Tamandua tetradactyla: one gene and its partner. The protein of the gene in region 1 interacts with the protein of each later gene in a biochemical or structural test. Links are inferred from orthologs where the notes say so. Each region holds a gene or a part of one and is shown on either strand. Other genes may lie near its edges.

Region 1 (3,910 bases):
TTTGATAATCAACCCATCCCTCTTCTCTAGAAATGAATGACCATGCTATACATAAAACTCTAACAGTGGCAGGCACATAGTATGCACTCAGTTATTGCTGCTATTTTTAACACCACTATTTATCCATTAGGTTTGTAGCTCTTTGCAGAATGAATGTTTATCTTAACCATCTTTCTTATCCCCAGTCATGGAAAAGTGCCCGATCCAGGGCAGGCACTCAATACATACTACCTCATAAATCTTATACCTGGAATGTATTTGTAAATCCTTCAATGTCTTGAATAAACTGCTGACTCAGAGCAGACAAAAGAACTAAAAGAAACCCAGGAGGGTGGTTGAGACCCCAGGAGTGGTGAGTGGGATATGCTTCATAACTGCCCACATGTTGGGGCAGCCAGTATTTATTGTGGGTAGGAAATCATTTCCCAGTCACTGTCTGGAGTTGGAAGGCAGGGCATGCTCCAGGCCCAGTGTCTGAAATGGTCTATTAAAGCATGGGCATAGCTTATATACATCCTTCCTAGCCATTTGGACTTGGCTACAGAGAAGCGAAGTTTATACATATATATATAAAATAGAGACAGGGGATGGGCTCATTGCAGCTGCTTCTCCTGAAAGGTCATATAATATGATTTGCATCCCATTTCCTGATCCAATGAAGGCAATCTTCCCAAAAGGGCTCAAGAATAGAGGCCCTGAAGATCTCCTCCTCTCACCTCTAGCACCATGGGAGGGCTGCTGGGCAGGCAAATGCTCCACTGTCTCCTTGATCCTCATCACAACTAGAAGACTGTAGCCTTTACCCCTCGGTTTCTTCAGAGAGGTTCAGAGAGGTTAAGCGACTGGCTCAAAGCCACACAGTTAACCGGTGGCCAAAGATGGACTATGAATCTAGGAGCAGCAGCACGGAGAAGGAAGGTCAGGCCTGAGCTGTCTAGAAGGTCCTGAAGGGGGAAACCACCTGTTAGTAAATAAAGGTTAAAGGCCACTGTGGGCTGCTCTTAAATCCAAGGAAAAGGAATGGGAATGACTAATCTGGAACTACCCAGAGGCAATTTTCCTGCCCAATAAAACCGCACAGCTGAATACAACCGTAAGGGTTGCAAGGTCCCCTGCAGGCTGAGTGTCCATACACCTCCAAGGTCCCCTGCAGCCTGAGTGTCCATATCGCCTGCCTTTTCTCACCTCCCCAAGACACCTCCATGGGCCCTGCAGAAAGGTTACCCAACAATGGCAGTAGTTGGAGTGCACTTAGCAATGCACCAAATCACATCCTTCCGCATCAGCCCGGGATCACCAGTCTTACGAAGCACAGGGAGGGTCAGGGGACTGGAACCTAGGCTTTTCTGACCCCGGAGCCCTCGCTGTTAACCGCCCTGACAGATAACCAGCTCCTCCTCTTCCAGATCCCGAGCGTACGGGGTGTCCCAAGTCCCCGGCCAGGAGGAAAAGGAGGATCCGCTAACAAAGTACGCGACGCCGCAGCGCGGAAGATTCCTTCCCCGAAGCTTCAGCGCCTACCGTCGGGGCCGCCTTCCCCCCACCCGGCGCACTGAGCGGCGGGGGAAGTGCAAGAAACCCCGCGGGAAAGCCAGGGAGGAAGCGCGCCGCGGAGAGGCGCGGGCCGAGGCGGGAGGAGGCGGGAGGCGCAGTTACCTTTCCCACGACGGTCCCGACGGCCGGAGCTCGCAGCCTCCTCGTCCCTCTGGAGCGAGGGTCTGGGGCCGCTCTACCGAAAATGAAAGTAAAATCCCCAGCGCCGCAGAAGGAGGGGCCGCCCCGGGCAGGACGAGAAACCGGGCGGGGCTGCGGGCGCCGCCTGCGGTTCGGGAGAGTGCGCCCCGCAAAGCTCGGTCGCGCGCGAAGTGGCCCGGGCCACGCGAAGGGGCAGCAGGCCCTGCAGACTCGGCCGCGCGCCTCCCCATGCCACAGCGCCACGTCCCACGGCTGCCCCCTTGTCTGAGACCTCCACCCGGGGCCTCTGCACAGCGCGGGGCCCTAGCTCTCGCAGTCATTAGCTCTTGTCCAACCAGACCCTTGACCCCAGCCCGTGCGGCTCCGGTCCCGGTAGGGTGAGGCTCCGCGTGCATACCTGCCTGAGTTACTTTCTCCCTAGGCCGAGACCCCTCCGGCCCGCCGGGGGTGTGCTGTGGTGTCCGGCTTCCGGGACTTTGTTTCCACTCGCCGGTGTGCCCTCCTTCGCGCGTGGGCGCAAGGATGCTAACTCAGCTTTCTCTTAAGCAAGTCCCAACCCTCGCTTTACAGCGCGCTCGGCGCGCGGTGCAGCCAGGCTCATTCACGAAGTATTTATGGAGCGCCCTCATGTGTCAGGCACTGGGTATGTGGCCCTGAGGAAGTCAAGAATGAGAGGGACAGGGGCTTCCACTGAAACACCTCACCCCTGCCCCGACACCCCGCTACCCCTCCTCAGCGCACGCGCGCACGCGCAAACACACACGCGTCCTTCTTCACCCCTGGGTTTTCGTTGGAGCCCTCTAATGTCTTTCCCAAATCCCTCAGAGGAACAATTAATTACCTCAGGCACTGAAGTGTAACTATCTGGGAAGAAATTGTAGTTTTATTCGTACCGGAGAGATTGGCTTTTAAAGAACCATCAAAGCCCTGAACCAAAGGAGCTCAGCCTTCATGGTGGACTTCAGGCAAAAACCAGGTCTTGTCTCTGCCTGCTTTCTCCTAGGACTGAGACTTCACTGTTGTCTCTAAAATCTCACCAAGGGCACTTTCTTGGTTTGAAGAAAGACTGGCCTAGGTAAGTGCAAGGGAGTAATTAGTTATAATTAACTTCTGTGAAAATTCTGAATTCCTGAATATATTTACATGCAGCTATGCCGTTTCTAATGATTGCTGCACTGCTTTTTATTTAATACCCATTTCCTGAAATTTTGGAACCATTTTAGGCACTAAGATAATGAGCTTTTCAAAGGAATTCAGTTGTGAATCATTTGAGAAATGAAAAATGCTATTAATAAAGCAAATAAATTACTTTCAGCATGCGAATGTTAAAATATGTTAACACAGGAATTCATTGCTGGCCCAATTGGAAAGGTGGATTGAAGGAAAACTTTCTTTTCTCAGGTTTTTATTGTAGACTGGGGTGAGGAACGCCAAAGTTATTGGTCTGAGTCTGGATTATAGCCGTAGCAAATAAAATTACGGAAACGTGGAAGGGAAGAAATTATTTGAAACTTTTCCCTCAATAATAATTGAACTGATAGTTTTGATCCGTATGATATTCTCTTCTAAATGCATCTTCCGTGTCTCTCCATTCTTAGGCCAATTAATTATCTTCTCCTTTTTATATTTACATGATTATAACATGAGCCTTTTCTCTTCCCTCACTATTCTGATGGTTTCCTGAGACTTGGCCTCACAAGGGCCCCTCCACTTTTTGCTCACCAGGATATTGCCCTTAATTCTGGTGAGTCCCCCACTCCTGCCCTACTGGGCACAGCACCCCCAAGTGGTGCTACCAGGGATTGCTACTCACAGTTTCCACAGGACAGTTCAAGCCCAGCTGTGACTTTATACGTGACTCCACCAAGATCCCCAGAAATATCACTCTTAAATCCAAACTCTGGCCCTTGGGGGTCACCAGAAAGCCTCTATGAGCCCAGATGGGAATGAAAGTCCCACCAAGGAGGTATCTTCCCCACTTAGGGTCCAGCAGAATCCTTTTCTTCCCTGAAAGGAGGCATTCCTGTTATATCTGTCATTAATCTGTCATTAATTATTTGGAGCCTCTTGGCTCCAAATGCATCCTTTTTTCCTGGCTGTGAAAATGTAACTGGGCCCTTTAAGGATTTTTCCTTTCAGCCAAAGCCTGTTTCCAGTAGAGGGCGCTGGAGAGACATTGCGGGAGGAAGAGGTTTTCCTTCCTGGTCTCCTCCTG
Region 2 (3,910 bases), on another chromosome or scaffold:
CTCAATTCTGGATTTATTCCAACCTCGAAACTGTGAATCAATAAAATCTTGTTGTTTAAGGTCATTGTGTGGTGTTTGTTGTAGTAGCCTTGCAAAATAACACCAGAGGCTTTGGGGAAAGAAACATTTGTTTATGTGATTAGGAGAGGATGGGAGCTTGAACTGGGGTGTTGGGAGTATAGATGGAGAGCTGTCAGATTTGTGATATTTAGGAGAAGAAAATTTGTAAATTGGTTATGGCAATGGGAGAAAGGGAAGCATTAAAGACAGGTTCCACGTTTCTGGCTGGGGTGGGTGGGTGGATGATAGTACATTTAGTAAGATGGAGAAGACTAGAGTTGCAGTTCGAGAGGAAGATAAGAATTACAGTCCTGGTCAATAGGACTTTCAAGTCCTACAATTCACTCAAGTGGAGGGCAGTTTAGGCCACTGGGTGTGTAATGGGAGGAGAAGCAGGGGTGGAGATGTACCTGTGGGAGTCCAGAGTATACAGAGGATGCTTGCATACATGGAAAAGCCCAAGTACAAAGAGAAGGGAAGGCAGCCCAGCTGGCCTTAAGTAGCCCTCATGTTGAAAGATCCTGTCTGCTTCAAATGCTGTTACAGCATTTACTCATCATCCATTTCCTATAAGTGGTTCACCCCCTTCTACGCAGACACCCCTCCGCTGGCTCCCGGGCCTAGGCTCTGACCCGGGAGGCACAGGAAGCACCCGGCAAGAGCAGCGCTAGTTGAGCCCTGATACCTAGTCATTGCAGCGTTCCCCAGTGTCCTTGCACCTTCCTCACCTTCCTCTCAAGCGCAGAGCTCATCAGAGGGCCCAGCGCTCCCTTTTTCTCACTCCCTCGTTCTACCCTGTTTGATTCGTCTTTTAAGGCATCCTTTCTTCTTTGAGGCTTTTGCAACTCAATTTGACGTGATTTCACGGTATAGAAATGGTAGGGCTAGGGTGTAAAGAGACCATCCTGTCTAAATAAATAAGAGGTCGCTGTCAGAAATGATTTCAATAATCCCGGTGCCAGGAAGTAGGAAGATTGAAGATGGGAAGGGCAGGAGAAATTTTCAGAAAGGCCGCTTAATGGGAAGATCCCCCCCTTAGTGGGAGGATCCGTACGCTGGATGCTGGCGCGCCCACCCCTACCCGCGTCACCGCGGTTTCCGGAAACTCCACGCCCCTGGGTACTCGGTTTCTCCGGATGGTTCCGGAAGAGTGGGGCGAAGCGGCAGAGAGAGCGAACCGGCCGGCCGGGACGCTGCACCGGCCGCTGGGGAGGAGCGGAGTGGCCAGGGCTTTGTGCCCCAGTTGATTCTCGAGCCTGCGGACTCGGGAGAGGCGCGGAGCCCGGAAGGTGCGCGCGTTGCGCCTGCCCCGGCACCCAGCGAGTCGAGCAGGGGCAGCTGCATCCCCAGCGCGGGTAGCTGGGAGTTCTGGCGCGCCGAGACACAAAGGCAGGCAGGATGGGGCAGCTGCAGAGTCGGCAAAGGAAAAGCGAAAGCCGCGGGCCCCGCCGGTGACCCGGTGAAGGCGCCGCTCCGCTCTCCCGACGCCGGCGGTGCGCGGGCCTACGCTCGTGGGCCTGCCGAACTGAACCCGGCGCGCCGCAACCATGGCCATCGCCCACCTGGCTACCGAGTATGTGTTCTCAGACTTCTTGCTGAAGGAGCCCGCGGAGTCCAAGTTCAAGGGTCTGCGGCTGGAGCTGGCGGTGGACAAGATGGTCACGTGCATCGCCGTGGGACTCCCGCTGCTGCTCATCTCGCTGGCCTTCGCTCAGGAGATCTCCATAGGTAAGGCCATGGGCGAGGGCAGGCGGGGCGGAGGAGGCCCGGCACGCCTTATCAGGGCTGTCTTAGACTGGCAAGATGGGATTTTACTGAGCGCCGGCCAGAATCTCGGCTTGCTGGCCGCTGCGGTGGCGTGCGCGTTGAGAAGGAAGGTAGCCCCGGTTTTACGGTCCGAGAAGCACTCTTTACCCGTGGCCTCATTTGTAACTCTGTGCTGTGGACCCTGTGCCCGGCCGTTGCAGCCTCCTGCGTTCCATCCCCACTACTCAGCTCTTGTTTCCTGCGCCCGCTTTGTCCCAACTGTAGTGTTCCTGTTCCACCTGCCATCGGATTAGCAGAGGACACCCGCCTTCTCTCTTTTCACACACACGCGTTTGTGCAGTCACATAAAATTTGGGGCCAAAGAAGTTCCCGTGGGAGTAAATGGAGTGTGCACAGAAAAGTGCTCCACGTAAAGAGTGTTCTCTCGCTGTTTTACGAGTAATTGCTATTTGCTGGGACTCAGCCATGCAGAGTTGGGACTGATAGGCAACACCTGCGCTTGACAAGGCCTCGGAGGGATACCAACATCCGCCGACTGGACGGTGTTTTTATGAACGTGAGATGAACAAGTCACCTTTATATAAGTTCTTATTTGATCCTAATAACAATTCTGGGAGATATGAAAGGCTCGTGGGTTGGGCAGGATCAAGTAACTGATAAATTTCTGGTTTTCTTCCTCATCTGTTCTTTCAGCACAGGAGAGTGTTTATGAAGCCACGGAAAGAGTGTAGTGGAGTAAAAGAGGTAGAGGCCAGTGCACCTACCCGGAGGGCAAAGCTCTTTATTGGACGTTGGGCTGGCCTGGAGCCTTGGAGCACAGATAGGATTTGGATAGCAAATTTTGAACACGCAGGGAAAAGTATGTGTTCCTGGAAGGGGAGAGACAGTGACTGCCCTCCTGGAGGCAGGAGGACTTGTTTGGATTTTTCAGATCTGAGAGTGAATATGGGCCTGGGTCAGATTAGAACAGAGGATAGCAGTCATGGTTGAAGACGTGGGAAGTTATCTGAGCAAAGGATGGACTGGCCAAAACTTAGTAAATAATAGCCTGGTGGTGGTGTAGGCTGTGTGGAAGGAGGGCGGAGAATGGAGCTAGGGAACTGGAGGCAGAAGGTGAGGCATCAGTTGAAGTCTTGTGCATGGATGGGGATGAAGAGTAGAAGGGAGAGGATGGGAATGGATGATTTGTGAGAGATCAAAGAGCAATAAGCAGGCCTCGGGTCATTAGTTTGTTGTATATGTGTGTGTTTTGTTTGTTTGTACCTCCACTTTTTCTTAAAAGCAGTTTTATTGAGATACATTCACACACCATACAAATCCATCCAAAGTGTACAATCAGTGCTTCGTGATATCACCACATCGTTGTGCATTTATAGCCGTGATCGGTTTTAGTACATTTTCATTACTCCAAAATAAATCATCCCATGCTCTCCATTATTGAGCCTTAATATCAGTGTGGTGCATTTGTTATTATTGATGAAAGAACATTGAGCCATTACTGTTAACTATAGTTCACAGTTTACAATAGGTATTTTTCCCCCATATACCACTCTATTATTAACTCTTTATAATAGTGGTAATATATTATATTATATTATAATATAACTATATATTATAGTTCTAATATAAAACTAGTACATTAACTAGTTTTTAATAGGGAACACAGGGCATATACTGGTCAGAGTTGCTGCAAAGCCTGCAGGGCTGGATGGGTGGAGAATGGCATTGTTGATAGAAATAGTAAAATTGAGGGAAGAGTTGGTTAGAAAAGGGTGTCAGTGTGTTTGATTTTGTGATCTTCACCCCACATTGTTCAGTTCGGCAGGAAGTTACCAAATTCATTGTGGAGCATAAGTTTTCAGTTTCCTTTGCGTTTGGGCAAGCATAGTCATCAGAGTTTCCTTTTGCCTTCCCGATGACCAGGGGTGGAGGCATCCAGTAGATAGGAAAACCACCAAGTAGCATGGGTCCTAAAGATAGTCTCTTCCTTTAGCAGATGCTCCTAGAGTACCAGCTGTGAACGCATGACACGTGGTCCCTGTCCTGGAGAAGTTGATCACCCTCTGTGACCAGCTCTACCTCT

Evidence for each region.
Region 2: of the proteins of CASP7 (region 1) and PANX1, one has a biochemical effect on the other in vitro, tested with the Homo sapiens proteins (2 studies listed by IntAct). The link is inferred for Tamandua tetradactyla from reciprocal best matches to the Homo sapiens genes CASP7 and PANX1.

Annotation. Positions count from the first base shown.
Region 1 is NC_135339.1:75,622,829-75,626,738, reverse strand, and holds the start of CASP7 (caspase-7), read right to left. Parts: upstream 2,413-3,910; 5' UTR 2,093-2,412; intron 1,789-2,092; exon of another isoform or gene 1,657-1,788; intron 945-1,656; 5' UTR 729-944; coding exon 717-728; intron 1-716. UniProt on the Homo sapiens protein: Thiol protease involved in different programmed cell death processes, such as apoptosis, pyroptosis or granzyme-mediated programmed cell death, by proteolytically cleaving target proteins.
Region 2 is NC_135334.1:48,832,484-48,836,393, reverse strand, and holds the start of PANX1 (pannexin-1), read left to right. Parts: upstream 1-1,166; 5' UTR 1,167-1,607; coding exon 1,608-1,788; intron 1,789-3,910. UniProt on the Homo sapiens protein: Ion channel involved in a variety of physiological functions such as blood pressure regulation, apoptotic cell clearance and oogenesis.